Drosophila melanogaster: one gene and its partner. The protein of the gene in region 2 purifies or fractionates together with the protein of the main gene of each other region. This does not show direct contact. Each region holds a gene or a part of one and is shown on either strand. Other genes may lie near its edges.

Region 1 (16,228 bases), 1.9 Mb from region 2:
ATATTACGGTAGTACACTATAGATATCTTTGCCTTTGACCTCAAAACATTTGAGGAAACAATTACGCTATAACCTGCATTCTTTCCATTTATTTCCCGTTCTTTAAGTTCTGTTCACATATCCATTAAAAGCCCAATACGCTCGACTAAATGCCGCCTCCATTGTTCTTTCAAATTGCCTTGGGGTGTATTTATACGCCAAATCCCACCATCCAAACCAGCCAAGTCCAGCCCAGTCAGCTCCCATTGCCAGACCATGGTCGTTTAATTAACCAGCCGAGGATAGTGATGATGGCTTTGTATTTTGGGCCCGGTCCAATCATTGTAGTGTTCGTAAATTGAAAGTGAAATGGAATGGCCGTCGGTCAGATGTGTGTGTGGTACTATATGTTCATACATGTGTACTACTATGCTTCGAGCAACAAGTGTTTTATCAACAGAGCGACAGGCGTCCGAACAAAAGGAATTATAAACTGTCAGCCTAGGAAAATTGAGTTCGCGTGCCAAAGGGTTTCCACCGCCGGCACAATGGAGGCTGCAGTCCCGTTAATATCACATACTAATATTATTAATAACAATGGCTGCAGTCTTGATTCAATTTGATGGCTGCCCGGCTGCGCCAACAAAAGGCAATCCCCCGCCCGAGTCCCCAGACACAAAGGCAATTTCTTGAGGTTCGCCTTAATGCCCCGATGCATTTAACTCAAGAAATAATAAAGTCGATAAAACGGTATTGAGGTCGGTCCACCCGAAATGCAAAATCGAGATGGACGCATCCGACTATAAAATCAATATCCATCTACATGGCGCTTCTATCCGCATATTCTTGGCTGGCCTGAGTGGCTTTTATTGTTTAAGCGCTGGCCGGGGCAATCTAGGCCAGTTGGTCCATAGAAGAGCATTCGATTGACTCGACGAGGATGCATAATAGCGCCAACCAAAATGTGCACTGGAGGGCAGGAATTGATGCGCATCATTAACTACAGCTTTGGCTGTTCGAAGGCCAAGAAGATGACAATAGATTAGTCAGGCGTGGCATTTGACTACCGAGCATCAAAAGGGTTTATTGCCAATTTCGGTGAAAGGGAATATATTTGCAGAAATGTAGAAACATCAAGCTCAAGTGCAAATAAGTACTATACACAATGGATGAGAAAGTGATGAAATCGTAATATAGTTCACACAAATATAAAAAGACAAGAAATGCATAAAACATTAAAGCAATTATGTAAAATAAAGAAGTACTTCCCAGTCATTCCAATTATACGTAGCTCGAAAATCGATTGGCTTTTCCATGCTTTTTTTGACTAATTTAAAATGGTTTAGTTTTTAAACCTTGTATCATCTCGCTTAACTTCGCAGTTGTCTTACCTACGTAACAAATGTCTTCCCCCATTGCAATTGACACGCCTCAAAAGGCAACCGCTGATAAACCTGGATTTACGTAAATATATTTAACTGCGTCTCAAGAAATATTAAGTATACGTATGGATATGCATATCTATATCGCTTTATTGTAACCTATTGTAACCTTGCAATTGTAGAACGTTTTGATATTTGCGAAAAATACCACTCAACAATTTCTTGGAATATTTCCTTAAGCAATCGCTTTGTTTTTTTTTATTATTATTGTTATTACGCATACATTAATTTTATGAACGACTGTCACTCAGGATTATTTACGTACGCGTTCGAAATGTTTGGACTTTTTCGGTAGGAAAATATGAAAATGAAACGCCAACGCATTAAAGTGCGGAAATATAAATTAAAGTTGTCTAAGGCAAAGTGCATGGATTGTTTTGAGAATAATTTTTCAAAAATTATTGTAGACAATCACTCGGGCTGTAAATTAGCAAAGCGACCAAAAGAACCAAGAAGCAGAAACAACCGATCTCAGCCGATCGTTCAGTCCTATATGCAGATATATATATATATACATATATATTCACATATGTATACCCACTTACACTCTGAAGATCGGCCCCATTCACCTTGGCGGCTGCCAAATTTGAAAATGGAAATGGAAATTGGGGTCGTCGTTGCCAGCCAGCCAGCCAAATGTTAAATTGTTGCCTAATCTTCCGGTGGCCAGCACTCTGTTTTTTTTTTTTCCTTCTCTTGTAGTCGCTTCTACTTTTCGTGAATGGAAAACGCAATAAAAAGTATATACTATTGTATATGGCTCGTACTAACGTTAAACTCAAGAATTAGTGCCTGCGAGATAAGATGCTAAGATCAGGTGAATGGGGTGTGAGATTTCGCAAGATCAGGGTTATCTGCTTCTGCAGAAATGGATTTACAAATTCTGATTAAGAGACGGATTCCGTGCAAGGGTCAATAAACGTTTTATGACGTTTACTTTAGAAAAGCTACGCCAAATAATATACAAATTTCGAGATAATATCTTCCTATTTGCACTTTTTCCAGAGAATGGAACCCCTAACAACTTGAAATTACTTATATTCCTATAAAATCCATTCAAAATATTTCTACACAAATCCCATTTATGAGCTGAATTCAATAAATTATTCGGTATAACTTTTATGCTTAAGGAAATTTCCTCGAAAAAATTATGAAACTTTTCCCATGGGCCTTAGCTCACCTAACATAAAGACACTTGATTTATTCGGAAAATCAGCGAATATATTTTAAAATGCTGAGCAAAAGAAGATTTCCTAATCTTGTGACTGCAAGCCAATTGACCTTTTGATAGGGGAAATTAATTTGGGGTGCAATGTTTGCAACATTTATTAATTCGTTGGGCGACCTAAGGCATAAATTGTGTGCTTAATTAATTCAGAACAGCGCGAGGCGATTTGTTTAAAAATATGTGTTCACGAATTTATAGATAGCTTACTTTTTCATAAAAAGAAAGCGTCTCATATTAATATCATCGTCATCGGTGTATTTTCGAATTTCCAAACAGTCAAAGAGAATTTGCTGTAGGCGTTGTCATTAATAATATTTTTCATACGCCAGGATATGTAATTAACTGAATAAGTGCATTCACTTGAATTAATGATGGGGGTGTTACGAAAACGAAAATTCATTGGCCATTTTCGGTTGACGAAATAAGGATTGTCGCTCCCATGCGTTTCTGGCTAATAAAACCCAAATGGCAATAATCGTCAAAAATAATGCCGGCTAAATGCAATCATAACATAAATACAGCGACACGCTTTGTTTTCCTTACGAGTATTTTCACTGGGATCTGGTTGGTTTTCCCAAACTCACATAAGGACGATACAGATTTATGGTCTTGGATTTGTTTTTATGGAGCAAGTACTTCCGTTGTCCTTGTGCTAGTTCCTCACTTAAGTTGCCACTGCTGTAATTGGCTAGGCAAACATATAAACATTTATGCGTATGGAGAAGTTGGGGAATAGATTTCGAAAGTCCTTGACTGAGTTGGCGAAGAGTTATTGAAGCGCGACATGAAGAAAAGCAATTTAAATGGGGTCACCTGAATGCAAATAGCTGGCAGATTTTGAAAGAAGCGGAAAACTCGAATATTATCTTTCTTGAATTATTAAGCATAAGTAAATCATACATTTTTGGAATTTTTTATATATTTACCATTTGTCAGTGAAGAATCTAATAATTTATCACGCTTTCTGAACTTTGAAATGTTCAAGAAAATTCAAAATATTTTACACGCCTTTTTTAATTTATATATATGTGGGATATATGGGATATATACCATTAAATCAGACATTTTAGCATTTTATTCTTATTTATATTTATCATATTTATTTTAACATTATGACGAGTTAGATCTTCCACCTCTATTTAAATGTTTAAAGACGCATTAATCTACGAATCTAACGAACTTAATGACTGCATTAGCAAGATCTCAAAGTATCTAAAAAACCCACACTTTCCAACTTCCACTTCCACTCCAAATATCAAGATTTAGCCCGCCATGTGAGGTGTAATTTGCTAATTGTACTAATTAAATCGGCTCGCCTAATTATAGTACTCAAAGCTTAATCATCAAACGAATTTATCTCCACATTTTGTTTCTATTTTGGAAAGCAAGCATTTATGATTTGTTGCTGGCTGCTGGCTTCCACTTTTTACACTACCCACGATTACTCACCGAGCTAAATTTTGAGATCCAAATTTGCCGGCCGTCGTCGTTGCCTTTTGGTTTGGTTTTTGTTTTGGTTTTTGGTTTTTTTAGCCTTTTGGTTTTTGTTTTTCTTTTTTTCCTACTTAACGATCCCACAGCCGATCTATATTTATTGTTGTTGTTCAGGTTGCGATTGTCTGGTTGGTTGGTGAGTTCTGATTCTGATTTTTTGCTGGAGCAAAATTTGAACGCTTGCGAAATTGTTAAAAATAAATATGTTACTTTAAGAGCGCACGATTTTCCGCGACTAGCCGTCGATTTCGATTTTTCCTTCGCTTCTGGCCGGCAATAATAACAGAAAAAAAGGCGAAAAAACCGCTGAAGCCGACACAGAAACAGAAATAAACTCAACACTCAGCGTTTCTCGGCGGGAGGGGGTATAGGTATAGGTATTATGGGTGTTATAGGTATACGGGGGCCATAGGTATTATTTTTTGCGGATCGACTGGACACAGCGATCGCGATTTGCTTTATTTGTGTCACTTTTTTCGTGGGTTTTTCTTCGGTTTCTTTTAGTTGTTGTTGTGTGTCTAAAGGTGCCGCTTTGTTTTGTTTATATACGCTGGGATCGTGAGATCCGAGAGATCTAGAATTTCCGGTTTTTACAGCGCAACTTGCAGTTTTTCTTCGGTTTTTTGTTAGTTTCCTCCGCTGAACCAGCAGATTGCCAAATTAGTCCAACTGAGCGCAATTAATCAAACGTGATGATTGCAAACTTTGAATAGGTTTTGTTTTTTTTTTTGTTGACTAGTCTGAAGACCAATGTCAAATTTTCCAATTTTCTTTCGAATGATTTCTGAGTGTTCTGTGGTGTTTTTCTTGGGTTGACCAGCCGCTTCCACGTTTTGCACGAAACTGAAACGTAAAATCTGCGAATCGCTTGCCACAGCTCTCGACGTCGACGTCAGCGTCGCAGTTGGCAGCACAGTCGTGGTGGTTCGGAAAAGGGGGCGGCCTGGTCGGGAGGGGCGGGGCAGTGGGCAATGATGACGATGGTAATAATGATGCTTCTGCTGGCAGCCAAGGGGAGAGGGAGAGATGGCTTCGGGATGCTCGCTTGATAGTCGGATGTGTTTGTGTTTGCTCTCCATGTGTGCAGATATTTGGTTTTGGCCAAGTGTCCCGAGTGCCGTTCCATTTGAGGGCCTAAACGCTTTGGCGGCAACAGGATCATCGCCATCAGGATGGCGGAGGCGGTCCGGAATCACCGATGGCGATAAGGCGGCCAGCATGGTGTGCGCCCTAATTGACAACACCATCACGGAACTGAAAGTCTTTGCAGCGACCAAAATCTACATACATACATATATATATAATAATTAATCTAGAAGATACATACATTGACAAAAAAGTAGATATTTTGTCGCTGCGAAGACAATAATTTACATATTTTAACTGTTCTTATCATATTTTTTTTGTGTAATAACAACTTTCATTACTATCATAAATAAGAAAATGCAAAATTATATTTCTTATGAAATATCTTTTTATCTTTTAACAACGTTTAATAATAGATTTTATAGACGTTTTTATCTTACGATTTTACCTGATTATTAAATAAATATAATCCTAATGTTGGGTAGTTTTTGGATTGGTTTTTCTTTAACTGCTTTAACAGACACATTGCCTGCGAAAAGTCGGAAAATTGTAATAAATGTGGGATTTTCCCAAGTGTAGGAGTACCAGCAGACTTTTCGTCAGCAGTGAATTTTTAAATATTCCAAGAAACACTTATACCTATTTATGTTTGTGTTATTTCAACAAATATTAAGACTTTTGGTTATTATAGTAGAGATGGAAAATAATGCATACAGGATGTAATTCAGATATGAAATACATACATGATGTACATATTGTACATAAGTTAACCCTACGATTCAAGCCAGAAGTCGTTTTAAATCAAAAGGTTTATGTGTGTTTTTATGGTGGGGGTGTTTTTCCTCAGTGTCTTGTTTGTTTTCAGTAGACTTTGCGGCAGCGCCGATTCGTTGCTGAGAAAATCTAGAAAATATGTTTTGTGTATTTACGAGCCCTCTGTTTCGGTTTTAAGCAAACAGCGAGCGCGCCTCTTTAACGGTTTTCGGGTGTTGCGTTCGCATGTTTATGCACGTTGATTTCGCTGGCCGTTGTAATAAAGGCCAACAAGGTCAGGTGCAAACGAAATGCGAGTACGAGTGACGCCTGCGTGCCACAGTCTCATTTCAGGTGCCGCATACAATTGCCGTGTGCATTTCAATTTGATGTTATAATTAAGCGAAGGCAGGCACGAGATGTCAGCAAGCTTTGCGTTTACGTTTTCTGTGCGCGACTTTTTTTTCCCTATTTCACTATTTCGTTTTGAGGCTGCTTCAGTCCTGTTTGTCAAGTGCAAGGACACTGCATGCACTCACCTCTTTGAGTGGGCGTGGCAAGTCCTGCCCGCAGACCGGAAGCCGAGTCATGGTCGCCGCAGACTGTAAGGCATAAAAATGTTAGTATCCTTGCCGCACTAAGTATAATTGTGGGAAACAACTCACTTAGCTTCCAGCTGGAATACAAACCGCAGCCGAAATTTGCGAAGACACTTGCGCTGACTCTGCAAGCCACTAAAATACGTTCCAAAAATATATGCCACAAATCCATTTAAGGAAAATTTTGTTTATTCCCAATTTTTTGAATTTTCCCCCCTCGAAATATCGATGTATATGTATTGTCAGTTAAATGTTTTGAGTTGTCTGTACCAGATGGCGCCAGTGTTCTGAAATTCAATTTACTTTTATTAATGTATAGCATTAATTGTAATACTCTCTGCAAAGCCAACAAGATTTTATTTTTCATAAATTTTTTTGTTTTATAAATCATAACGTATTTTATTTATAATATTTAAAAACGGTTTTAAATTTCCCATTAGGATTTTTTGAAATGTCAGGACAGTGCCTAAAAGTATGCAACCTCATATGCAGTTTGGTATGATTTCCGAGCCGGTTGGTATATTTGAACGATGACGCCTGGTCACACTGCTACAAATGTCTTTCGCATAGTTTAGTTTATTATTACGCGCAAACAACAAATAGCTGACCCTTCAAAAACGAATTAAACAGCGAACATGCAGTTCTCTTGGATGAAGGTGGCCATATACCTTCTTACGTTCCTAACCTACGCCTATTCAGGCTATGGATCCAGCACCATAGTCCACGTAAGGTGCACCGCTTCTCGTAGGAAATCTGTGAGAGCTAGTATCTGTTACTCCTGTATCTTCTCTCCCCGGATTTAGCTAAGGGATGCCATTATAGCCGCGGAGGCGATCTTTGGTGACGTGTTCAAGAACCTGATAGTGCTGGTGCGCAAATTTCGCACGGTCCACGAGGTTTTCGATGCGGCCGTGGACGAGAACTGCATATACCAGTGCCCCGCACCGGATATCGGAGGACCAGGTGTGGTGACGCACTGCGCATTATGTAAATTCCCCAGCATCCATATGTGTGTTTATCTTACAGCGCCCAGAGCGGTTCAGAATAAGTTCTATACCCCCACCGCAGATGGATGTGGTTCCTTGGGCCTGAGGATCAGCACAGACTATCTGCCGGCCAAGGAGATGGAGACATGTTGCAATGACCACGATATCTGCTACGACACCTGCAATAGCGATAAGGAGCTGTGCGACCTGGACTTCAAGAGGTGCTTGTACAAGTACTGCGACAGCTACGAGAAGTCCATAGCCAGCGATCTGATGATGAAGGGCTGCAAGGCGGCTGCCAAGATGCTATTCACCGGCACATTGACCCTGGGATGCCGCTCCTATCTGGACTCCCAGCAGAGATCCTGCTATTGCGCCCCGCCGAAGAGCTCCTCCTACAATGGCAATAGGCAGGGTAATAGCAATAGTAGGGAGAAGCAGCAGCGCCAGAAATATGGCTGGAAGGATCGCAACGAGATATAGTACAGGATCACTGGCTACGAGGGTGCGGGGACCTGGGGGTATCGGATTAAGCGTTAAATGTTTTATGTGTTGTGTTAGTCTATGAATTGGGTAGCCATGTCCATTGGACTCCCTTTTTGACGAATTTCATTATTGTATACCAAATAGTGGCATGCCAACGGTCCAGACTGTTAAATACATTGATATTTTTACCTATTATAAAGATGCTATATTTTTAAATCAACTGTGCGCTGATTAATCACCGGTGGCTTATGCTGACGTGGTCCTTTGGGCAGGATATGTATATTATTTATTAATCATATGATCGACAAGTGTGTAAACATATTTTAACCAGGACGATGACGTATTTAATTTGTTAAGCTGCCTGGCCAAAGCTAATTTAATAGTACAAATAAATGAATGGAGATCAAACAAGAATTCTATTATATCAAAAATTTTGACTTTAAGTCAAACTTAAGTTTAAAACTAAGGTGGAACAGAAAATATCTCAATATTTTCAAGCTAAACAGTTATTTTAAGAAGCCATTTCTCGCGGATTACAGCTGAAGTGCCATCCTAGCTTTCCAACACTACTCAGTCACACTACACAACACTGCACTGACTGAACCGAAAAAAAAACACACAGATTTTGCAATCCGCAGAAAAGAATTATTAATAGTATTTTTATGCGGATGGCCAGCGTGCTGAGGACCTAAGATGGGCTACGATGTGAATCGCTTTCAGGGGGAGGTGGACGAGGAGCTCACCTGTCCCATCTGCTCCGGAGTGCTTGAGGATCCGCTGCAGGTTTGTTTTGTTTGCAAAGAACGCACACCGCGAATCATACATATGCTTTAAATACAAACAATCATACATATCTACCGATTCAGGCCGTGATGTGCGAGCACGCCTTCTGCCGCGGATGCATTAACGAGTGGCTAACCCGCCAGCCCACTTGTCCGGTGGATCGAAATTCCCTGACTACTGCCAACTTGCGGGCAGTGCCTCGCATATTGCGCAACCTACTGTCCAGGTGAGAAAAACCCAACGCCTTCTACTCTGTGAACCTTGTGGACTCTAACTAATCTTTGACCCTTGCCAACCAGACTGTCAATCACCTGTGACAATGCGCCTTATGGCTGCACGGCTGTTCTCAAGCTAGACGCCTACAATTCCCATTTGGACGAATGCATTCACAATCCGAAGCGACCATTTCCCTGCGAGAAGGGATGCGGCTTTGACATACCCAAGGATGAGCTAAAGGACCACAACTGCGTGCGGGAGCTGCGCACTTTAATTGTCAAGCAGACGGAAAAAATGGGTGAGCTCAAATCGGAGCTCACCGACCAGCAGCTGACTATCAACGAACTGAAGCGCGAGCTGCAGCTATTCAAGGACTTTATGCGTGCCATGCGCGTCTCCAATCCTGCGATGCGGGCCATAGCCGACCAGATGGAGCGCGACGAGGTGATCCGCTGGAGCAGCACACTGCCCCGGGCCAGGGTTACGCGCTGGGGGGGAATGATCTCTACGCCCGACGATGCACTGCAGGTGAAGCCCAAATTCTAAATTTTTTTAAAACGTTAACTCACTTTTCATTTGATAGCTCATGATCAAGCGCGCTTTGTCCGAGTCGGGCTGTCCGCCACACATCCTGGATAGTCTTATGGAGTTCTGCCACGAGCGACGTTGGCCCCGTGGGCTCAGTTCGCTAGAGACACGTCAAACCAATCGTAGGATCTACGACAACTATGTGTGTCGACGCATTCCAGGTAACAATTTTAAACATAAATATTAACAACAAGGCTTTATCTTTAAACTTACTCTTCCGCAGGCAAGCAAGCTGTGCTCGTTTTGAGCTGCGACAACCTCCACATGACTGAGGACGTCATGATCGATCCAGGTTTGGTCATGATCTTCGCCCATGGCATCGAGTAGGCCCTCAGCCGCTGATTAACCACTTATCCTAGGTTAAATGCTAACTATATCGAACAGTGCTCAGTTTTGTTGATTCCTTAACGTAAGAGTAAGCATTAAAAACAATATTGTAAGGAAAAACTCGCAAAACAAACCATTCAAGCGCCTCATGACGACTTTCAAGTTGTACAAAAAATATATATTACTTTCGGTTCATTGTGTTTTATCCATTTAGTTAGTACGCAAATTCGTATACATCATCAAGTCGTTCGCATATACCCAATATTACATGTTTGATTAAGCGATCTCAACAAATGTCCCTTTGTTATCGTTCACTTCATTCTCATTTTGATGGAAGGAAGCTGTGAATGTCCTAATTCGCGTTTAAATTCGTATTGCACAACTTACTTAAATTTCTGAAATATTTGTCAATACTTTTAGATTAAATGTGGAAAGAGTAATAAACAGTTTATTTAACTAATGTATTCATGGAAGAATTTATTACTATAATAAACCATTTGCTTTTATAATTGATTTCTTTCAATTACGAATTTAAATTGTAATAGTATGTTACAACAAAATTCCATTTATTCATTTATTTAAGCACTCCCATGAATTATTTTTCTGAAAGATTGTCTAGCCTTTTAGATTAGAAATAGAAATAAAAGTGATTATTCCAACTAAACCGATAATTCTAGCCTCTTATCAGCTGAAAGGGCAGACAAGCGTCTGCCTTTGGAAATCCTACACAAATGTTCACTGGGATGCCCCCCACTTGCAAGCACCAACTCATTCGGGGAGATCTGTCCGCCTCCACTCTGTGGACCCGTAAAAGTTCTGGACAACATCTGTTTCCCGAAATGGAAATCGAAAAGCAACAAAAACCAAGCAGCAAGCAACCAAGCAACAAAATAAACAAAAGAAAACCAAACTAGTTCCTCCACGAGCTTTGGCCGCCAACCGGTTTCGGCTTTTGTACACCCGTTTTGTTTTTTTCCTACATAATACAACATTATACAAAGTTTGCATCGGTTACATGTGCCAAAAATCGTTGGATTATACAAGCCAGTTTTGGTTTTCAATTTTTTTCTTCGTATTTGCCGAACATCTTGAATATTGATAGAAGCAATTAGCGCCATCCAGACCAAAGGGGCAGCCCCCTACGGCGATTGAAAGTGAGAGTTGATCGGCCGATTGGCGGCGGAGCGGACAGGCTGAAATATATACATCCAACAGTTGATCGCGAAGCGGCGCAGCCAACGGACGTGTCCAGCTGCGATCTCCAGAAGGCAACCAATCTAATCGAAGAACACGAAATGAATGTATCAATTCCGGTGCTATTTGTGGCCCTCATCTGTCTGGCAGCTGCGTCGGCGTTTCCTCAACTGAGGCAGCGCAACGAGAAGCAGGTTCAAACCGGCGATGATGATTTGCGTAAGTAAAATTCTTAACGCTCGAAAATCTTACAATTCTTAGATTGTAAAACTTCCTAAATACATTTGGAAAATACTTTTCAAATCTGAAATTCTGTAAATATATATAAATACATATCTATCTATAAATTTTTGTGTATACATATGTACACATTCTGTAGTGCGAACAAAGCGTAAAATATTTAGTAAAATAATAGATTGCTCCGAATTTTTTAATAATAAGCTTGCCGATTATTCAGCTTCTATTAATTAAATTAAAATAAATATAAAATATTTTATAAAGTATATACCATTGCATTTTACAGCTTCCAAGGGCGCCACTATCGAGGAAGTAGTGGTGGAATCAGCCTTGTACATCAAACCGAAGTCTAATCCGCAGGTGCGTCGCGTCCGTTCGGTCCTGGATCAAATATCCGGAATCCAGGCCGCTCACAAGAGGGTGAAGCGTCAGTTTGGGCGACAATTTGGTGGTCAGTATGCTGGAAATCCCGGCTTCGGTGGCGGATTCGGTGGAGAGCCTGGTTTTGGAGGTGGATTCGGCGGTAATCAAGGATTTGGAGGCAACCAGGGATTCGGAGGTAATCAGGGTTTCGGCGGTAATCAGGAATTCGGCGGTAACCCAGGATTCGGAGGAAATCCCGGATTCGGCGGTAATCAAGGTGGAAAAGTTCAGGCAGGTACATCGGCCGGCGCTGGGGGAACCAAAGCGGGTGTTGATGTTGGTGCCGGACCAGATGGCGGCAATGCCAATGCCAACGTCGAGTTAAATCCGCTGGGACCACTCGGACCCAGTGGTTACAACCAGGAGCAGGCCGCATCCAACGGAGCTGCCCACAGCAACTACAACAATGGACTCAACTCAGGATCCTCGGCCGCCAGTGGGCAGGCTCAGGGCTTCCAGTCGCAGAGTGCCAATGGATCATTCGGTGCCTCCTCCGCAAGCACGGCCACTCAGTCCCAGAACACCAGCCCCTTTGGATCCAATAATGCGGCAGGTGCTTCGCTGAGTCAGGTTTACCATCTTCCCAATGGACAGACAATAAACTTTAGCTCCACGAACAGCTTCGCTAATGGAGGAGCCAATCGTGGCAGTAGCCATGGATCGGCAGTTTCTGTCAGCCGCTAAAAGCCAAGTTCACCATACAGGGAAAATACCTCCAAGTTAATCTATTTGTCAGCAATCCTATGTGCAAATATCTAAAAAATCCAAATAAATATTTATGATTGAATTGAATTTGAATGAATAATTTGAATGATTTTTTTAAAATCTAAACGGTTGCATTTTGATGATCCAGATTACAAATTACAACAAACTTGAATTGTTCCATACGAAATTTAAAAGCTTAAGACAATATAAGAATTGGCACTGTTGACTACAAAATATTTAGATTCTTGGTATCAACCAGCGAAAGAAAGTTGAAAGGTTTTTTTTATTTTGTTTTTTTTTTTTTTTGTACTACTTTATATAATTATCCTCAGTGTATCCTTGTACAATTTGGTTTCTACTAAAGTAGTACACGAATTTATTATTGCTACAATTAATGCGCGTAAATTGTAAAATGATTGATTTTCATTTGTGCAAACATGCCCAACTGATGATCCTAAAGAAAACTAATCTGACTCGCTTTCGCTTTCCGACTGGAAGTCACCCACTTCGATGGAAAACTTGTACTCCTGATCACAACCCAAATAGGAATCGCTCATGTAGTACAGAGTGTAGTCGTGTTTGCCCGGACTAGGTGCCACAAAGTCCAGCTTGACCTTTGCCTTTTGCTGCAGCGTGAGCCGTTTGATGGAGAGCAGGGAGTTGGTCTTGGGATCACCTATGACGACCCACCATCCTTCTTCGCGCTTCTGCGGGAAGAATGGAGCAATGACTGGGCCAGTGACCTCATCCTCACGTTCCAGTTGAACCACTACATTAACGGTTGATCCTGAGTTGATGCGATCCTTGTCCACCACCTCATAGTTCAGCTCAATGTTGGGGTAACGGTTGCAGAATCGAGCAACATCGGCCATTTGTAAATCGGAGAGCTGCAGCAGGCGAGTGCGATCCTCGTCCTCCAATTCCATGATATCGAAAACGGTTTCGATTTTCTGAAATATACGACGAAACATGAGATAATCCTAGAGATTCACTTGTTGTTACTCTCACCTTCTCTGTGCACCGCTTGACAATCTCGGGACTAAAGTGCGGCAACTGTTTCAAGTACGAGTCCTTGCTCCACATGGCCTGCGTGACCATCTGAGCCAGCTCCATGGCAGCCACAGCCGGCGACAGCCAGCCATTTGAACTCAGCACATCTACGCAGGCCTGAATGAGGCGGATGGCCTTGCTCAGTATCTGCTCCGTATCGCCTTGCAGTTCAGGTCCCAGTTGCAATCGCGAAAGATGAGCCTGAAGCAGCAAATTGGTCTTGATGTGCGGATCATTGAATCTAAAAATAACATTGGTAAAATTCTTTTTAAGATCTAAATGTATGGGTTGCTTACTTTGGAGCCGTTTCATTGGGTCCTGTGAGTTTGTTGGGCAGTCGCTGAGACAGCGTGCGCAGAACCTGCTCCTCATGATGCCTGACCACAACATCCTCGTACTCAGCTGCCGATGAAATAATTTCCAGCAGGCCCCGCACTTTTGTTTTGCTGTTGAGGGACAAACTGAAGAGCTCTGGGAAAAAATGATAGGAAAATGAAGATGACAATTGCCTAAACTTAAATCTAATGCTTCATACCGATAGTTGTGTAGTTGATGTAATAGTAGGCAGCAATCATGCCCAGATTGAGTGGCAGCGTGTCCATATCATCCTCCACGCTAATACACTTGGACTGTTCTAGATCGCTCAGCGTATTCTCCACCAACTCCGAAAGATGGTCGGAGAGATGGCGATGCGTGACACCCTGCAGATTGTAGTAGTTGGGATTTTGGGTCAATCGTCTGTAGAGGAACGTCCAGGTGAGATAATCAACGGCATCCTGTTTGTTCTCAATTGTCTTGGTGACCACCTCGGCGTTAAAGTGATCATGCATTCTATGATCCAAATGACTTTCGATGGGCAGCGGCTCGTTGATGAATTTCTTAAAGAAGTCCTTCTTGCTGCTCTGGCACATCAGCACGCATTTGGCATCCGCATCCTCGTTCGGCCGATTGGCTCGACCAATCATTTGCAGCACGTCTGTAATGGGATAGTCCTCATACGAATGATTCTTGCCATTGTAAAATTGTGTGTCCATGATGATCACCAAGTGAGCGGAGATGCTCATGCCCCAGCAAAGGTCTCTGGAGATAACAGCTACTTGCACGGCGCCAGAGTCAAACAGCTGCTCCACCAGGCGATGATCTGAGGCGGATAGGCCCTCATGGAGATAGGCCACTCCTTGCGCTAGGGTCTCCTTCAAAGTTTTATCCGTCATTCGTTCGAGGAACGGCTTGATGTCCTCCTCCTCAGCATGGAAAAAACGGTTGGGTTGCAAATCCGATGCTGCGTAGGTCAAAACATCAATTGCAGTGAGCCTGGCCTGCTTTCTGGACGAGACAAACACAATCACCGGCTTGTGGGCGCTGTACTTGAGGATGGCATTGTAAACAGGCTTGGACATCGTAGCAATTCTGGTGGCGTTGTGAGTGACATTATAGCCCTGGATGTGCAGCTCCAACGGAATGGGACGCACGCTGGGGTGGAAATTGAAAGTGGCATTGGGATTACAGCCCAGCCACTGGGCGACATCCCTGGCATCCGTTAGCGATGCAGACAACGCCACTATTCTGATCTGTTTCTCAATCTGCGAGCTAATGTATCGCATCCTGGAGCATACAATTTCCAAAACGGGACCTTCTTCGCCACCAACCAACTGCAGTTCGTCCACAATGAACAGGTTCACCAATTGTACGTTCTTCCTCTGTTTCCATCTGCGAGACAACACATCCCACTTATCCGCAGTAGTGATCACCAGCTGTCCCTTGGCTATGAGCTTAAGATCGGTTCCAGTTTCGCCGGTCAATTTAACCACTTTTATGTCCAGGGATCCAAATTTGCTATGCCAATCCGCAAAAACTAAGTCCGCCAATGCCTCCTCCGAGACCAAATATACACATCGGGCATCGGATTGGGTAGTGAACAAGCGCATGATGGCAAACTCTGCAATAGTCATCTTTCCGGATCCGGTTGGTGCTCCAACAAAGACATTCTCATCACTATTGTAGACTGCGTTGAAGACCTGTGTCTGAATGGGATTGAATTGCGGGAAGCGTTGCGAATAAAAGGATTCAAACTTCGGCTGCCGGAGTGCACTAATAGGAAGCGGTTGGAGATCCAAAAGCTCCGTAGGTGGCATATTCTTCTCGGGCAGAATCAAGTGTCGGAAAGAAACTGGTAATTGGGTCTCTGCACCTATCCAACGATCTGAGACAATGCGAAGGAAGTACTGCGGTGGCAGAGGTTCAAAGACAGGCACAAAGAACTTAAGCTGGTGCTCATCTTGGGAATACTTCTGCTTCAGCAGGAAAAACTCATGATGGAGAATGAGTTCCGAGTCGACATCTTCAATTAAAACCCAGAAACCTTCCGACTGGCCATGCACCTTTTCATCCCATTGGAAATCCGGTGTAATTGTTAGTTCCACTCTCAGAGTTCCCCTTGTTATGGGTTGAATGTGCGTGGAGAGCTCCAATTTGGGGAACTGGTGCACAAACTTGTGGATGGTCTTTCCTAGCTTGGGCACTCTAATCAGCTCACCAAGTTCATGTGGCTCTAGATCGTAAAGCCTGCCCCAGGGGAAGTGTTTTTTCTCCAGCTTCTTGGCAATCTCATCGGGCATCTTCTTGAACTGCCTAAGTGGTGTCATCGATTGC
Region 2 (16,191 bases):
GGTGGAAGATTGCAATCCAAGAATGCGATAGTAGATCCAGCGGCCACCACCTTAAGTACGGTGAATAGCATACTTAGTACGGCTCAAAAGCTGCACATGTTTGATGATAAGCCAAAAGGTAAGTAAATTATAATTGACCCTTGTATAATTGGGCTAGCAATTCTAACCAAGTACCGTCTACAGGTGGCCACTTCAATGCTGCACCCACACTACTCGAGCAGCAGCAGGAGAAGATGAGCGAACGATCGCGCTGCTTGCAGCGGACAATATCCTGTGACTCGCGGGTCATCGAGCGATTGGGCACAGGCGCCGCTGCAGGTGCCTTGGAGAAAGTTACCACGGCATCAACCAGGCGCGATGCCGTCTGATTAGGTATGTGGATATTGAGAAAACCTTGAATCTGAAAAGTCTTAATTGAATGCCTTTCAATCCATAGTAAACTAAACCAACTGCTGACCACAAAAAAGTAATACAGCTTCATACAAAGGCCGCTTTATTGCAGGTTGATTCAAATTTTATGTATCTGATAATAGCTAACCGGTACCAAACAATTAAAGCAACCAACCCGTTCTTTGATTTTGCAAAACCAAATTATAACAACAATTACAAGGCGCATAAAGTATGAGCTTGCACACCTTTATGTAATGTGAATTGAAATCAGGAGACGGACGCCATGCAACCAAATGCTATCAATGAATGTATATTGGGAGACAAACACACACTTTGCATAGCAAGAGAGTTTGGGAAAACTGAAAACGAAGATTAACTAAATTACTTAGTTACTTTATAGTATCGTTTATGTCACAGCAATCAAACCGCTTAACCTACTTATAAACAAGGAACCTACAATATATATATATGCACATGTATATGCTAGACACCTTTAAATAGAGCCTATGTAGCGCGATATAAGCATAAACTTACATAGCACATAGAATACGAATACAGATTAGGCAGCCAAATTTGAAGTTGTAAAAATGTTAGAAATCACTCTTGGCTTATTTACTAATTGAATATGTATTTTTAGTTATTAAGTTCAATCAATCCTGAAAAAGTTCCGTTTTCGCCATTGCAGAGGAGCCGAAAGTAGATGCGCGGATGGTCTATCCCTACATAATATATATTTTTGTGTCACTTTCGTTTAAATTTTGAATTACTTATAATCGTAGAAATAAAAAGTATATATTAATCACACTTAACTACAATATTTACCCAAAAAAACAGTTTAGCCAGACTTAAAAAAAAAATGCAAGCAATATTTAAAACACATTACCTAGTACAGAACTTGGCAAATAATACAAACTGTAATTGTTAGAGAGACCAGCGAAAACAAAATCCGGAACTAACAAAATTGTAAATAATATTTTTAAAACCCAAACATGAGCAACCAAAAGGATGAAAGTAAAAACTACTTGTCTTATTAAGCAAGTTAGTTAAGTAAGTTAAAAAGAGTACAAAGCGAGGGTTAATTGATTGAAATTATGCTAATGGATCGCATTAAAATTGTAAATAGAGGCAGCAACAGAAAGTGTCCGTAGCCATTTTCGTATATAGGCTTAATTATTTTAATCTTTCGAATTTCGTCTAAAGTAAAATATTCACAAATTAATTGTAACATTAATTTGTTTAATACATAGCTTGTCATTAGACTTAGATCAAGATTTTATTCAGATCAATGCTCACCGAGGAATGTGCCACAAAATTTTGTTTTCTGCGTAATTTAATCCGGTGAAATTAGCAAGATTAAATTTTCGTAACCGTTTTCGATATGTTCCTTGTTGCAGCATTTTTCAATCTTCACCGTGAAATATACCTAATTTGTTTACTTCCAATACGCACATAAAAAACAAAATATTGGAATATTGAAAACGAAAATAGAAAGAAACTCATTTATGGACCCTGTGAAAAATGATCTATTATTGATTCAGATAGTCTTTGTTACGGATAACAAACTGGACAAAACATGCTGTAAAAAACATAAGTTGTAAAAGTGTTTACCAATCTCTTTTGAGGGGCAATAGTATATATAATCTTGTACATATGCAATTTTAATTCTAACAAGCAAATCATGCAGGTGGTCTTTGGCGAAGCGCTTTTTAGTTTTAATTTAACATTTATTTTTGTAAATATGCATATGCAACGTTTATAATGTAATCATCGCGTAAGTGTAAAATATTTTACTAAGCCGATTTTATGAAAAGTATGTTGTTAATTTTTTTAGCGCTGTACAATACAAACAAGACCTATATAAAACCTTTTGTTAGTTATCTATACATAACTGGACAATAGTTCGTAATTTTCGTAATAGTTTTTGATAGTTCTAGCATAAAGGAAAACGAAATTATTTATAACTTATTTGGTTGGAAATACCTACTCGTAATAATTTGTACTCTACACCTAGATTCTTTGTAAGCGCGAATTTGAATTGTAAGTCTAAGCATAATGGTTTTAGTCGTAAGTATACTTTGGTTCAACAGATGTAAATTAAACACGTTAATTGTTTACTAAACACAAACACAAGCATGCCTAAAGAAGTCGGCAAACAAGCTTTGTCTGTAAAATACATTACAAATGAATTGATAAGATTCTTTAACAATAAACAAAAAACCGAAAAACACAAATAAAACGAAATTAAAATGAAAATATACCAATTGATTTTTTACTTCATTTCCAATTTCAACTTCCAAGCGGGTGAAACATTTTTAAAGGTGGTTATCGGTGGCTTTAAATTCGTAATAAATCTATTGTTGAATAAAATATTCCATTCCCCCCGAAATTTGAAAAATGAGAATCGCATACAGGCACATTTCGAGTTAACATTATTTTTATTTTTCATACAATTCGTACAATGCCTACCTATAATTAATATTAAATCGCAAAATATTGGCTTTACCTAGTGAAAAGTACTTAGCATCCTAATAGCCGATAATATAAATTTCTGTGAAACATTTCGTATACTTTAGGAATAATATGTGTATATTTGCGTGACTTCCTAAAGGTGAAGGTTCCGGAACCTACAAAAATATATAAAATGATTGTTTGAACTGGTTATCGTAACACTAATTAAGGTAGTTCTTTGTTACACGCTAGATTATATATTTCTATACATATCGGTCGAGCTGTATATTAATTATGAACAATTAACGATTCTGAAAACTAAGAACTCGTTGGGGACTGTTCAAGCTTTGCGAAATAATAGAGATATTTGTACATTTATATAAACCTAATGATTTAAGCGATCCGCATTAATACCAATCAGCATTAACACATCAAAAATATGGATCGCTCTATATATAATTATAGATTCTACTTGTGGATTACAAGAAGATTAAGAACGAAAAGATTTCGATTCCCAAGTATATTTACAATTTAAATTGAGCTGGCGCTTTGAAAAAATTGAAAAAATTAACTATTTTAAAGTAGGGGGATGCAATAAATTTGTCTAGCTGTGACCGATATGCCGATGTGCCCGAGACCCTATAAACTCATTCGTTCCGGCATGCCCGATTGAATTGACGAACTCTATGGACTAGTTTCGCGTTGGTATATCATAAGAAATTGGCGCGGCCTACAACATCAATGGCCAATGACATTGCGCAGTGGCAATGTCATACCCATACGTATTTGATAACAGCTCGCATAAATTCTTTTGTGACTATACAGCGAGTCTGAGACCTTATCTCAGCTCTACAGCAACCAAAACACTCGGCGCTAGGACTTATTACTATTGCAGCTATTGACATTGTTATTGTTGTACAAGTATGGTATAAGATTGGGCTCAATCTCCAGCTGCTGCCTGAGTATCGAGCTCATGACGAACTCCGTTGAAACGATATGACACTTGGGATTTCCGTGCCGCGTGAGATCCGCACAGAGATGCATGTCCGTGGGACAGGTTACTATGATGTAGGAATCGGGCGCTTGCATGTGTGTTTCCGCCACAGATGCACCGCTTCTCCGCTTCGGCTCCACTTTACCACCAGACGATTCAATCATTCGTATAATTTCTTCGCGAGCTGGGAACACGTCCGGCGTCACATGGAAGTATTTGCCGGCAAACAGCGTTGAACGAGTGGGGGCGCACAGCACGGTATTCAGATTGAACTGCAGGTTCTCGTCCACCGGTATGTGCTGAATGCGGTATGGATCTGTAGGCACAAATTTACCAGCTTTGGCACTATCAGCAATCCAGCTCGACTTCAGCACATAATCGACGTGGCAGCAGGCCTGGATTAGCTTGCATGTACGACTCTCGCGTGTCATTACCAGGTGAGTGGCATCTGCAGGGCTGTCCACCACAATTCCACCCAAAATTCTAAAAAAAAAAAAAGGGAAAAGTTAAAAAACGAAACTAAGAATACGTTGTATTATACTTACAACACAGCTTTTTTAAGAGCCTCGGCATCTGCGACCTGGGAAAATATGACCTTTGGTGGTTTGGTGGTAGTTGGATATTCTACGCAGACAATTTGCTCTGGCAGCTGCTCCTGCTGGAATGCGTTCATCTTCTGGCGCTTAAGTTTTTGCTCGTTGCCGTAAGGATCGGATAAGTGTCGCTTGACCCGTTCGTGTGCCTCCTGAGTTAGATTGATGGGCGCCTTCCAAGCAGCTGTTAAGAAACAAATCGTCAAATGATTTTACAATATAATACGAGTTTAGTTTGTACTTACTTAGCAGATGAGCCACCAGATTGCATTCGATGCGGAAGGGAGCGACCAAGTTGTACTGCTGATACTTGGGATTCTCATACTGGGAGAGGCCACTAAGGTTACCGATGCACACGTCGCTTAACCAAAGCGCATTGACCATCGGTATGTTCCACTCCTTGGCGGCATTAAACTTGTTGCCCTCGAGCTGCTTGCACACGACCACTGTGTTCACCTTGGACAGATAGGATGTGTAGATGGCACCGCACTCCTCTGCCATCTGCTGTAGTCTCACAACCTCCTCGCCTTCAAATCCCTCGGAGGTTATGATGTAGCGTTCTAGGGGCTTACGATAGCCAAACTGGCTGGGGAACGGTAGGTGCAACGGCTGCCACGGTGGCATCAGTTGGCGCTTTAAGCAAATATCACTCAGCCAGTAGGCAGTGACGCAGCGCTTGGCATCCCGCAACGCCTGCATCACCACGCCATGACGCTGAGTGCGACAAATAACATGGGTTACTCGGGGGCAGTAAACACGTTCGATGTCACCGCCAAACTGTCTAATCGTATCTAGCCAAATGGGCAGTTCATCACCGTCTGTTTCATCGTATTCCACAATGTAGAACGTACAGCCCACCAAAAAGAGATCGGCTGGTAACTTTAGGTTCGGATTGTGCCCGTAGAACTGCGGCATAGGGATCGGTTGCTGACCAGGACGAGTTTGAATGTAGCCGTGAGGAGTCCGCTGCACTGGCACACCCACGCCCACTCCCACAGCCATCTGTTGCTGCTGCTGGGGGGACTGTGTCGGAGCGACTACGATCTGTTGTTGGACTAGATGTTGCTGCGGTGCCTGCTGCTGTTGTGGCAGGGCGACAACTCTGCGCATTTGCTGCTGTTGCAGCAGTTGTTGTTGCTGCTGTTGCTGCAACATGAGCAACTCCTGCTGAGTTCGCGGTGGTCCAGGAACTCCGGCTGTTGCGTTATGTTGCTGGCCCATCATTCTAAGAGCACCAGCTGCCGACGGTGGCTCGACGTGTTGCTGTGGTGGTAATTGCTGTTGGACAACCATTTGTTGTTGTTGCTGCTGCTGCTGTTGCTGTTGTAATAGTAATTGTTGCTGCTGCTGCTGAATGGCTCCGGTCACCACCACCTGTTGTACAATCTGCTGTTGCTGTGGCTGCTGTCCATCGGGAAGTTGAATTATTTGCTGTTGTGGTGTTTGAGCTCCATTATTTCCTAAGCGATTGCTCAACATGTTGGCCAGGGCTGTCTTCGTTTTGAGGTTCATTTGCTGCGGTGATTGTTGCGGCTGTCCATCGGGAGCTGTGCAAAAGGAATTGGTTACTATGTGCATTGTCCTTTTTTTAATGATTAAAGATGATTCGTATAATTGTAAAAGTCACTGTAGCAGACAAATGCATTTACTTACTCGTTGATGTCATGACCAAAGTTTGCGTCATTATGTTGGCATTTCCGGGAAGAACACCTCCTGCTCCTGGAGTTGTAGGTGTGCCTGGTGCGGACTGCTGCTGCGGCTGTTGGACGATGGTCTGTTGTTCAATCAGCTGACCATTGGGTCCGGTGATAAGCTGCACTGTTTGCTTGCCCAGCTGCTGAGGTCCCTGTTGCTGAATGGGAATCTGCTGGACTCGCAACTGCTGCCGCTGCATCAGCATTTGCTGGTTGGGATCATTGGGGTTGAAGGGCTGCTGTTGAGGAGACTGCTGCTGTTGCTGTGGTCCCGCTCCTGGCTGCTGTTGAATCGGACTCAAGCCAGGTGTTCCGGCGCGTACAACAACCTGTCGTTTTCCCTGCTGCTGTTGCAGCCAGAGGACTTGTTGCTGCTGTGTTAATCCGGGTGGCATTTGGTGTTGGACAATAATGTGCCCGGGCGGAACCGGACCTGCCGGTCGCGTCGCTACTATGCTGCCCGGTGCTCCAGGTCGCGGCTGGTAGGCAACCTGTTGGCGAAGCATTACTCGAGGTTTGTTCTGCTGATTCAACTTAGTAATATATTCGGCTCTTTTGTGAGCATCCAATGACATGAGGTGTGCATGCGTTTTTTCGTCCACCACGATTTTTTGTTGCTGTGGCTGTTGCATTACCAACTGTTGTTGCTGACCAAGATGCTGTTGCTGCTGCTGCGGCTGTTGTTGTTGCGGTGGCGGCAGCACGATCTGTTGCTGTTGTTGAGTGGGTTGAGGCTGTTGCTGTTGAGGCTGGCCGGGCCAAGAGGTTTGCGGCCGCAATCCACGCGGAACAAATTGCTGCTGAGGCTGCGGCTGCGGCGTTGTTGGTCCACCGGGCAGGGGTGATTGCATCCCAACACTGGTGGGTGTGCCTGGAGTGCTGGACGCCATTTGACCGCCAGCAGGACTTTGCGGTGACCAATGCTGCTGCTGCATTTGTGGATGGTGTTGTGGAGACTGCTGTTGTTGCTGAAGCAACAACTGTTGTTGTTGCTGCTGCTGCGGAGGCGGCGTGCGTTGAGGCAGTTGTTGCTGCGTGATAAGCTGCATTATTTGTTGCTGCTGATTATCGTTGGACAGTTTTTGCTGCAGTATCTGCTGTTGTTGGGGCGTTTGCTGCTGTTGTATAAGGATTTGCTGTTGTTGTTGTCCCACTAGCTGTTGTTGTTGTTGCTGCTGCTGCTGCTGTTGTTGTTGTTGCTGTTGTTGCTGCTGCTGTTGCTGTTTTTGCATTAACTGCTGTTGTTGTAGGTACTGCAAGCGCTGTGGATCACTGAGTATTTGCTGGTTAACAACAATCTGCTGCGGCTGCTGCTGCATTTGCATCCTCTGCTGTTGCTGCTGTTGTGGTATAATCTGCTGCTGCTGCAACATTTGTTGTTGCTGCACAAGTTGCTGTTGTGTCTGATTGACCACGTAAACGTTTTGGCTCTGCGGATTTTGGGCTAGGATTTGCTGTTGCTGTTGTACGCTAAGCTGATTAAAGTGCTGCTGGCTAATTATAAAGGTCTTTTGTTGCTGCTGCTGTTGTTGTGGCTGCTGAACTCCAGAAATTTGCTGGTGTGAATCAAACGAAAATTTATTGGGGTAAATATTTAAAAAAAAAGACAAAAAACTAAGAGTAGGCATACCTGCTGTGGTTGTTGTTGCAGCTGCTGTTGCTGGGGAAATTGACCAATAATCTGCTGTTGTTGTTGTTGTGGAACCTGCTGCTGTTGCTGAACATTGGTTGGTGGACGTTGTATGGTTTGTTGAATTATCCGCACTTGACCACCAGCTCCAAGTGCTATTTGCTGCTGTTGTGTAAACTGAACTTGTTGCGGTTGTTGTTGTTGAACTTGGTGCTGTTGCGGAAGCTGTTGCTGCTGCTGTGCCGGTGGCAGTTGCTGCACTTGAGTAATCTGTTGTTGCTGCTGCGGCTGCTGTTGTGCTTGTTGTTGAACGTGCAACAATTGCTGCTGCTTCTGCAAGGCCAAAGACATATGACTTTGAATGATTTGTTGTCCTTGAGCCGTGGATGTGTTTATAACATGGCGCTGAGTGATGACTTGTTGCTGTTGTCCAGGCTGTGGCTGTTGCTGCGTCAGGACCTGCTGTTGTTGCTGCTGCTGTTGTTGTTGCTGCTGCTGCTGCTGTTGTTGTTGTTGTTGCTGCTGTATTTGCTAAAAAGAAGTAATCATTAATTTCCGGTAAAAAATAATATATGTTCTTTATTTTACTTGAGCGTTTTGTTGGTTTGGCTGCTGTTGCAAGGTGGGGGTAGTAGGTTGCTGTTGCAGTGGCGATTGTCGCGGAGAAGGGGTGTGCTGCTGTTGTGGTTGCTGCTGCTGCTGCTGTTGCGGTTGCTGTGCCATTTGCTGCTGCTGGGGCTGCGGTGCCATTTGTTGTTGCTGTTGCATCTGTTGTTGCTGCTTCAATTGTTGCTGCCTCATTATCAACGAGTCCTGATTGCTGCTCAATGCAGATCGACTGAGCACTTGAGCTACCTGAACGGGGTCCGTTGGGTCGATAGGCTTCTGCTGGGAGAATGATTGCTGCGGCTGAGTGGCTTGTCCAGGAACCACCTGATGCTGATGCAGCTTTGCCTGCATGGGTGGAGTTTGAGAAATCTGGGGCGATTGCGGAGAAATATGCTGGGGACTCTGCTGTTGCTGTTGTTGCTGCTGTTGGGCCAATTGTTGTTGCTGCTGCAATTGCATGCGCTGCTGTTGATGGACGGGCTGTTGAAAGGGCTGCATCTGTTGCTGCTGTTGCGGCGACATCATAGATTGTGGTTGAGGTTGTTGTGGCGAGCCCATCATGTGCTGTTGTCGATTCTGTTGCATTTGCTGTTGCTGGCGCAAATGTTGTTGCTGGGCGTTTTGCGGCGAGGGCGGAGGTGGCGGAGTCATTTGGGGAGCTGGGGATTGCAGTTGTCGCGGCGATTGTGGCGGCAACATATTGCTAGTTGCATGATGCTGCTGTTGCTGCAACGATGGGGATGGCGTACTTGGTGGCATTACCGGCGAACGGTTTTGCACCATCCGAGGCGACTGTTGTTGTTGTAGATTCTGTTGCTGTTGTTGCTGCTGCATTTGCATCTGTAATTGCTGCTGCTGCTGCATAACTTGTTGCAGCTGTTGTTGAATTTGTCTCTGTTGCTGCTGCTGTTGCGGCGTCAATGCTTGTCCGCTTTGCACGATTTGCTGCAATTGCATTTGATTCTGGTTCAAAATTTGTTGCTGCCGCATTAGATGTTGGTGTATGATTTGCGGCGAAACCGGCACAGATTGTTGTTGTGGCTGCTGTTGCTGAACAACTTGCTGCTGAACAATTTGCTGTTGCTGAACTATCTGCTGCTGCTGTACCATCGTTTGCTGCTGGCCCACTTGTTGCTGCACCACCTGTTGCTGTTGAACTATCTGCTGGTGGTGCTGAGGGGATTGCACGGGCTGCGGCGTTGTAGATGGTGTACGTGGTGTCTGCCGGCCTGTTGGAGTCGTTGGCAGTCGGGGCGACTGCTGTTGCTGAGGAATTTGTTGTGGATGTTGTTGAGAAAGTTGCTGTGGAAGTTGCTGTGCGATTTGTTGCGGGTGTTGTTGCGCAAGCTGCTGTTGAAGTGGTTGAGGATGCGGCTGTTGCTCCTGCTGCATTAGTTGCATTTGGATTTGTTGCTGTTGCTGAGACTGCTGCGTTGTTTTCATTTGTCTCTGCTGTAGGATATTTTTGATTTGCTGCTGGTTTTGTGGTTGCTGCTGCAGGTTGGCGGGGATAATCTTCTGCTGCTGAATTATTAATTGTTGTTGATGCTGCGGGTGTGGTGCAGGAGTAGGTGCTTGAGGACCACCTTGCTGTAACTGGTGAGGGGATTGTTGTGCTGGCTGTTGGGGTTGTGGCTGTGGGCGCACAAAGACCACCTGCTGCTGTGCGGGTACGGGCAGCTGTTGCTGCTGTATTTGTTCAGCTGAAGCCTGCAGCTGAGACTTAATGCTAGCGATGCTCTTGGCAGCTACGCTGTCCTCGCCAAAGCCAAGGATGTCAGATAGGGCAGAAGTAGCCGTTGCCTGTTGCTGGATAATCTGCTGTTGATGTTGCTGCTGCTGCTGCTGCTGCTGTTGTTGTTGTTGTTGTTGTTGTTGTTGTTGTTGTTGTTGTTGTTGTTGTTGCTGCTGCTGCTGCTGCTGCTGTTGTTGCTGCATCTGGTGTTGGTGCTGCAATTGCTGCTGCTGCTGAATTTGTTGCTGCTGCGTAGCCTGCTGCTTTTGTGTTCGCTGCTTTTCAATGGGCTTCAGCAGTCTCGGATGATACGTCTCCACGGGCATGCAGTTTTTGTACTTAAGGCTATCTGTCACCCAGTCGGGCGTCACAATAATGATGGCATTCTTGGGCAGGGCCAGCGCCTTGTTGTAGATGCCACCGTTGGCTGCACCGCACACCAGATGCGTGTTGGTGGCCCCAAAGCTGTGCGTGACTACGGCACCGTGGTATGTCAGCATGGCGTAAAGACGCCTTCGATCCCCTGCCACTACATTGGTGATGGCCACCCGAATGCCGCGCATCAACCGCATTTGATTCGGACTCGGGTCGAAAGCCCGTGTCGAGGCCATTCGGCCTAGCTTGGCGCTGTGCACGATCCATTGCTCCGTTACGGGAATTGCACTGTAGAGGTCCAGGTTCATGGACAGCTCCTCCTCGTTGTAGTTGGTGGCGCATATCATGTGGGTGATTTGGTCCGACAGGAACAGTTTCGATTGAGCGCCACCGCTCTTAAGAAAGCGTTCGATCTGCAAGGCAAAGGCATAATAATTATTTATTACATTACTTGATTTAAACAGTATATATAAAAGATATATGTATGTGACCAAATAAGAATTCTTTTTTCAAGGGTGCCAAATATGTTGCTTCCGTTGGTAGAGGAGAACCAAAACAAAAATCAGTTGATTTAGCACCAATACAAACTCCAGTACACAAACACACAAACACGGCAATTTGCCGGCAACTTTTATGGCGCGCATTTGCCAAGGTGCCCGGGTTACCCTGTCCGCCCGCGCTCCAACCCACCCTGTGAGACGCACGCACACCCGCTCACACAAACACACACACACGTACGCACAATGCAAGTACAGCAACAGCAAACGAAAGATTCGCTTTGCAGCTTTTTACCTCCTCGTCCAGATTTCCCAGCACAAAGTATATCACATCCTCGAACAGTTTGTCGCTTATCTTGAGGTTCTCCATGGCGCCGCCGTTTGTTTGACCACTTGCACTTCTCTGGCGGCGCTAATTTCACTTTTGCTTTTGTTATTGCTGCTGCCGCGGCTGCTCGTGGGCATCTACATTGCAGCGTGTTTTCTCGTCTTTCCGCTGATCTTGGCCATTTGCGAACTTCGAAAAACGGTGTGCGATGCGGTGCTTATCGCGTAGCACATAACAAATGCAATTTGGAACCGAAAAATTGCATTTAAAGATCACTTTTTCTCTTTTATCACCGCTGCGCCTTCCGCCTAGAGTTGGTACAAAACACTGTTTATGCGATACTATCGATAGTTCCAGAAGTGTGGCAATATGGATGCTTAATCTGCTGGTATCGATTGGTGGAAAACTTGGATATTTGATTGATTTCATTTGTACTGTGGTCCAAAAAGCGATTTTATTGGTTAAAACTTTTTTAATTGGGCCTAAAACTCACTTTGCAAGTTCGATTAACTTTTAACTAAAACACGATGTTCGTATGAAAATATATGAACCCATCTATTTGTATTAAATATTGTGTATTTCCCACCTATTTTGGTGATTTCATTTCGTTCCCGTCCAATTTGAACAACCAATTACCATACCACACCGCTCGAAGGAACGTTTCCTAGTTAATTAGACTCCACTCCGGGCACTTATAATTTAAGTAAACATTTGTATGGCACATTTCCGATTCAGTTGTTGGGTTAGCGCCCCAGGAAATCAACACATTTATAAGTATACGTACATACATTTATTTTAGCTCTGCTTGATTTACAAATTCATTTTAACTCGACTGTTTGGTTTTTGCATCAAAAATTTAGCTCTGCAAGCAGCAGTACCTATGTTATTATCAATTAGTTGGTGAAATTCCGTCAACTGCTTATAGAATGAATGCAAAAAAAAAAATATAAAAACATTTTCCATAGAACATGGTGAACTTTTAAAAACTTTTGATGGAATCCCAGTAATGTACGAGAACGTGTGTGTGTGTGTGGCTGGCTGCTCCAACTTAAATTTATTATGCTCGTAATACTTACAACTATGTACGACGAGGGTAAGTTAGTTTAATGTTACAAAGATAGAGATATATATAACTGTTGCAATAAATTTCGCGCTGCTCGGCTCGCCATCTTCGCTTCCCCGGCCTGAGAGATGGACTGATGAGTTGATCTTGAGATTGATTGGCCAGTGCGGATGGCGATTGAATTTAACGGGGGAAACACGGAACATGGTGCTAGAATTTCAGTTTAAACTGTCGCGAAATGCCCGCACAATCCGGCAGCAGCCATCTTAGCATTAGGTTTTTCATTAAAATTAGGTATAGAGCATTTGAAGTGGGGAACGGAGAACTGGCTGCACTTGAGGTTGTGGATACAGTAGAGGTGAGTGTTGAGTGGTGAGTAAATTAGCTCGTCGCCGGGAACTTGTTACAGGGTTGGATGATCGAAGTCTTGCGCGCCGGCACGGTTTCGGGCGTGGGAATGGCCTCCCCGGTGGTCACCTTGTTGGCAAAGACCTGCTTGACGCCGCCACCCTTCTGCTTGGCCATCTGGTAATCGCCCGAGTCGAAGAACTTTTGCTGTGGGAAGGATATGAAGGAATACATATTAGATTTCTCTTATATAATCAAATAGCTTTTTAGAACTAAAACGGAGATATCTTCCAAATGCAAACTTAATGTAACAATCTGATTTCGTTTACCAGATCATCAAGTTGATATAAACTATGCGCTGTGATTATTGAGTTTCATTGATTTCAGAAAGCAATTGCCAAATAGTATGGATCTTAGAATAGAGGAAACATGAATTGTTATTTTCCTTTAAACAACGGGTACTAAATACTACTAAATAATATTATTATTATTATTTTTAATTGATATTCATATTACAGGGTTTGGGTATCCCCGAACACCGAAAGTTAGTAAACTTATTGTTTGATTGTTTTCGAATTGTGCTAATCACTTACCCCCTTCTGCAGCCTTTTCTGGAGGAAGGCCGAGTGTCCGCCCGGCACGCGCATTCCGCTGGGATACTTGGACTTGAGTTTCTCCTCCTCGATCTTCTCGAGATCCGTGAGGTTAGCCTGCTCGGTGGTCTCGGTGTCCTGGGGCGTGGTGGCCGGGCTGTTGCTGTTTTCTTCCGCGGAGCTCATTGTGTGCTGCCTACGGGTGATAGTACTGGGATTAGCCAAGGTGCGACAATGGCGACACGGGAGAACTTAAATGGCAAAAGGAGGGGGAGGCGGCGGAATTGCAGAGGGGCAGCGAAAATCGGAGGCGCGCAAAATGCCAAGAGAAAATTGCATTTCATTACACACACACACAGACACAAACGCGCTAGGCTCGCACAAACACTGGCACGTAAATCCAGGGCAGGCGCACGCACACTTGCTAATATATGTGGACGCGAAATATTATAGTAATAATCGGATGTGCAAATATTGTTTTAATTTTTTATATACACCAACCACTACGCAGGCGATAAGGCTTGTGTGTGCGTGCGTTTGCTCGTCGATGCGGTTGTTTGTGTGCAAGGCGTAGTTGCTCACCTTTTGCCTGTAAAATTTGACGATTAACTGTTGTTTTCCTTCTCCTTTTGTTCTTCACCCGTCTATCAGTGTGTCTCCTTCCCTGGAATCGAATCGGTTTTGCCAATTAGCGTGCCGACTTAGCGGAGAGTGCTGCTATTCGCTAACGATTCCGGCAAATGATGTGCTGTTCGACTAAATCAGGCTGTTACACGAGCTATGTATTTGGTGTGTGGAGAGTGACTGAAATTCCCAAGGCGACTCAATTGTAAAATTATTTTATCACTTTACAGACGCAAGACTGTCTTCGATAGCAGAAGGCGTTATTTCGGAACATATCGTTTATCGAAACTACAGTTGCTCAATACTGAACTGTCCAGCTTCGAGTAGCTGTGGCTCAAACCATTGTTGTCATCGATAAGCAATTGCAATTTTATTTGTTTGCTTAAAAAATTAAAATATAAACTACGAGGATCAAATAAACATACATATTCCCAATATGTTAGCGAAAAAATATGCTCAAAAAAAGATGTTTAAACACAATGTAAGCTGTTCTATGCATTGAACAAATTAACACATTGAGAGGGCGCTCTTATAAGTGCACATTTCAATTTAAATTTATTTTAATATATTCAAATATAGTATAGCAGTATAGCATTCAAATGTAACTGTTGGTTGGACTATCGCTGTAGTCCAAGAACTGCAGATAGTGTCATCGCTAGCTTTGAAGCATCTCAAAGGAAAAAGAGCGATAATTCTGATAAGAAAGTTGGCGTAGCCGGAAGGCGGATTGTCACATACAAAATAGTTTGGAAAGCCCAAACTGAGGCGAACCAATCACACAACAATCCACGCCCACAATGACCGCCCTGCGATACATGGGATGGATCACCGGCTGTTCCGTCCTAACGGCCTTTGTTTCCATAATTTGGCAGGCATTCATCGCCCTGCAGACGCTTAACAGGACGACTGTCCTGCTCACCGGTCTCCTGGCAATCGAGGGGTGAGTTCATTCGGCTACACTGCAGCACTAGCTATATATGCATTTGTATTTCAGATCCCTGAAGCGGACCGCGTTGGAACCGGCACCCAAGGTGGCCATCGGCTACGGAGCCTGCACGGACTTGCAGATAAACGCCACTGAATTTCTGGATCGCTACTATGGGCGCCGGATTCCAGTCGCAGCAGCCACTACAGGATCTCGGGCGGTCGTGAACAACGAGGACGAGCTCTTGCAGTCCTTTGCCTATTACTTTCAGAACGGCGCTGCAGCGGAGTAAGTTGCATGGAAGGATCTTGGATATCCAATATTTTATTGGCTATGCAAGTTACTAACAAAGTATTTCATACTGGTCCACTTTTCAGGCGAGTGATGGCAAACAGTACCCTCTTCACACAGCTGGTGGGCTACGCCAAGGTGATGGACAAGGAGAGGATCAATTGGTACATGGGTGGTAACGCCCCACTGATGGCCGTGCGCTTTTTTATGGAGGGAGCTCAAGTGCTACTGGGCGCCCACATGTCTAGAAAGTAATTACCTATCTGAATAACAAATTATTTCATGGAACTTAATGTAAAAACTTCTTCAGGCTGCGGCCACTGCTGCCAAAGGAGATTCGTCTGGCTGGTGACGAGATTCCAAACGATGACATCCATCTTATTCTGGAGTACAAGGCTGGTGACAAATGGGGCCCATATGTGGCACCTCGCGCCAATCGCTACATTCTGCACAACGATCGAAATAATCCGCATCTGCGGGCCGTGGAGCAGTTGACGGATGCTTTGAAGATGTATCAGCCACAGCTGTTGGTTGTCAGCGGGCTGCAAATGATGGACATGTTCACCTTTAAGTCTGGTGAGCGAGAGGCGCGCCTGCAGCAAGTACAAAGGCAACTAACCAGCCAGCCGCAGGGCACTCTGAACCACTTCGAGATGGCTTCTTACGTGGAGTTGCAGCTGCTTCAACAGCTTCGACACTTTGTACTGCCCTACGTAGACTCCCTGGGAATGAACGAACAAGAGCTCTCTAACCTGCAGCAGGTTCTTGCTCACGGACGGACGACCTTAGCCACCGACTGGAATCCGCGCATAGCTCACACCCTTGACCAGATGCGGCAGGTTTTCATTAGTCTCCTTGAAGATTACGAAGACCGAAGCTCAAGCGATGCCAAGCGTCGCTCTATCTCGCGCATACATGTGCACACGTTGGCCTATCAGGCGATCCTTACCACAGCGGGCTCCAAGTGGAAAAACACACGTGCTGCCGCTGCAAAGGCAGCGCTCACTGCTCACCGATACGTCTGCAAATCCCAATTTGTGAGTACGCATTTATG

What was found.
Region 1: the proteins of endos (region 2) and elgi purify together in Drosophila melanogaster (affinity purification with western blotting, with the first as the bait; one study listed by BioGRID). This does not show direct contact.

The regions. Positions count from the first base shown.
Region 1 is NT_037436.4:15,948,004-15,964,231, forward strand, and holds elgi (early girl), read left to right. Parts: upstream 1-8,546; 5' UTR 8,547-8,746; coding exon 8,747-8,836; intron 8,837-8,919; coding exon 8,920-9,062; intron 9,063-9,135; coding exon 9,136-9,580; intron 9,581-9,635; coding exon 9,636-9,801; intron 9,802-9,863; coding exon 9,864-9,967; 3' UTR 9,968-10,430; downstream 10,431-16,228. Other genes in the region: Pka-C3 (protein kinase, cAMP-dependent, catalytic subunit 3), read right to left, coding at 6,522-6,584, 6,648-6,753; GXIVsPLA2, read left to right, coding at 7,217-7,306, 7,385-7,544, 7,608-8,050; CG17032 (uncharacterized protein), read left to right, coding at 11,263-11,380, 11,685-12,505; Brr2 U5 snRNP complex subunit, read right to left, coding at 12,991-13,476, 13,535-13,817, 13,873-14,047, 14,112-16,228.
Region 2 is NT_037436.4:14,017,510-14,033,700, forward strand, and holds endos (endosulfine), read right to left. Parts: upstream 14,198-16,191; 5' UTR 13,880-14,197; exon of another isoform or gene 13,799-13,879; intron 13,722-13,798; exon of another isoform or gene 13,494-13,721; 5' UTR 13,484-13,493; coding exon 13,298-13,483; intron 12,912-13,297; coding exon 12,738-12,911; 3' UTR 12,070-12,737; downstream 1-12,069. Other genes in the region: upSET, read left to right, coding at 1-118, 184-368; Ptip (PAX transcription activation domain interacting protein), read right to left, coding at 3,712-4,315, 4,378-4,609, 4,671-5,972, 6,079-7,675, 7,750-8,280, 8,338-10,881, 11,261-11,335; CG6650 (uncharacterized protein), read left to right, coding at 14,719-14,861, 14,916-15,134, 15,224-15,388, 15,448-16,174.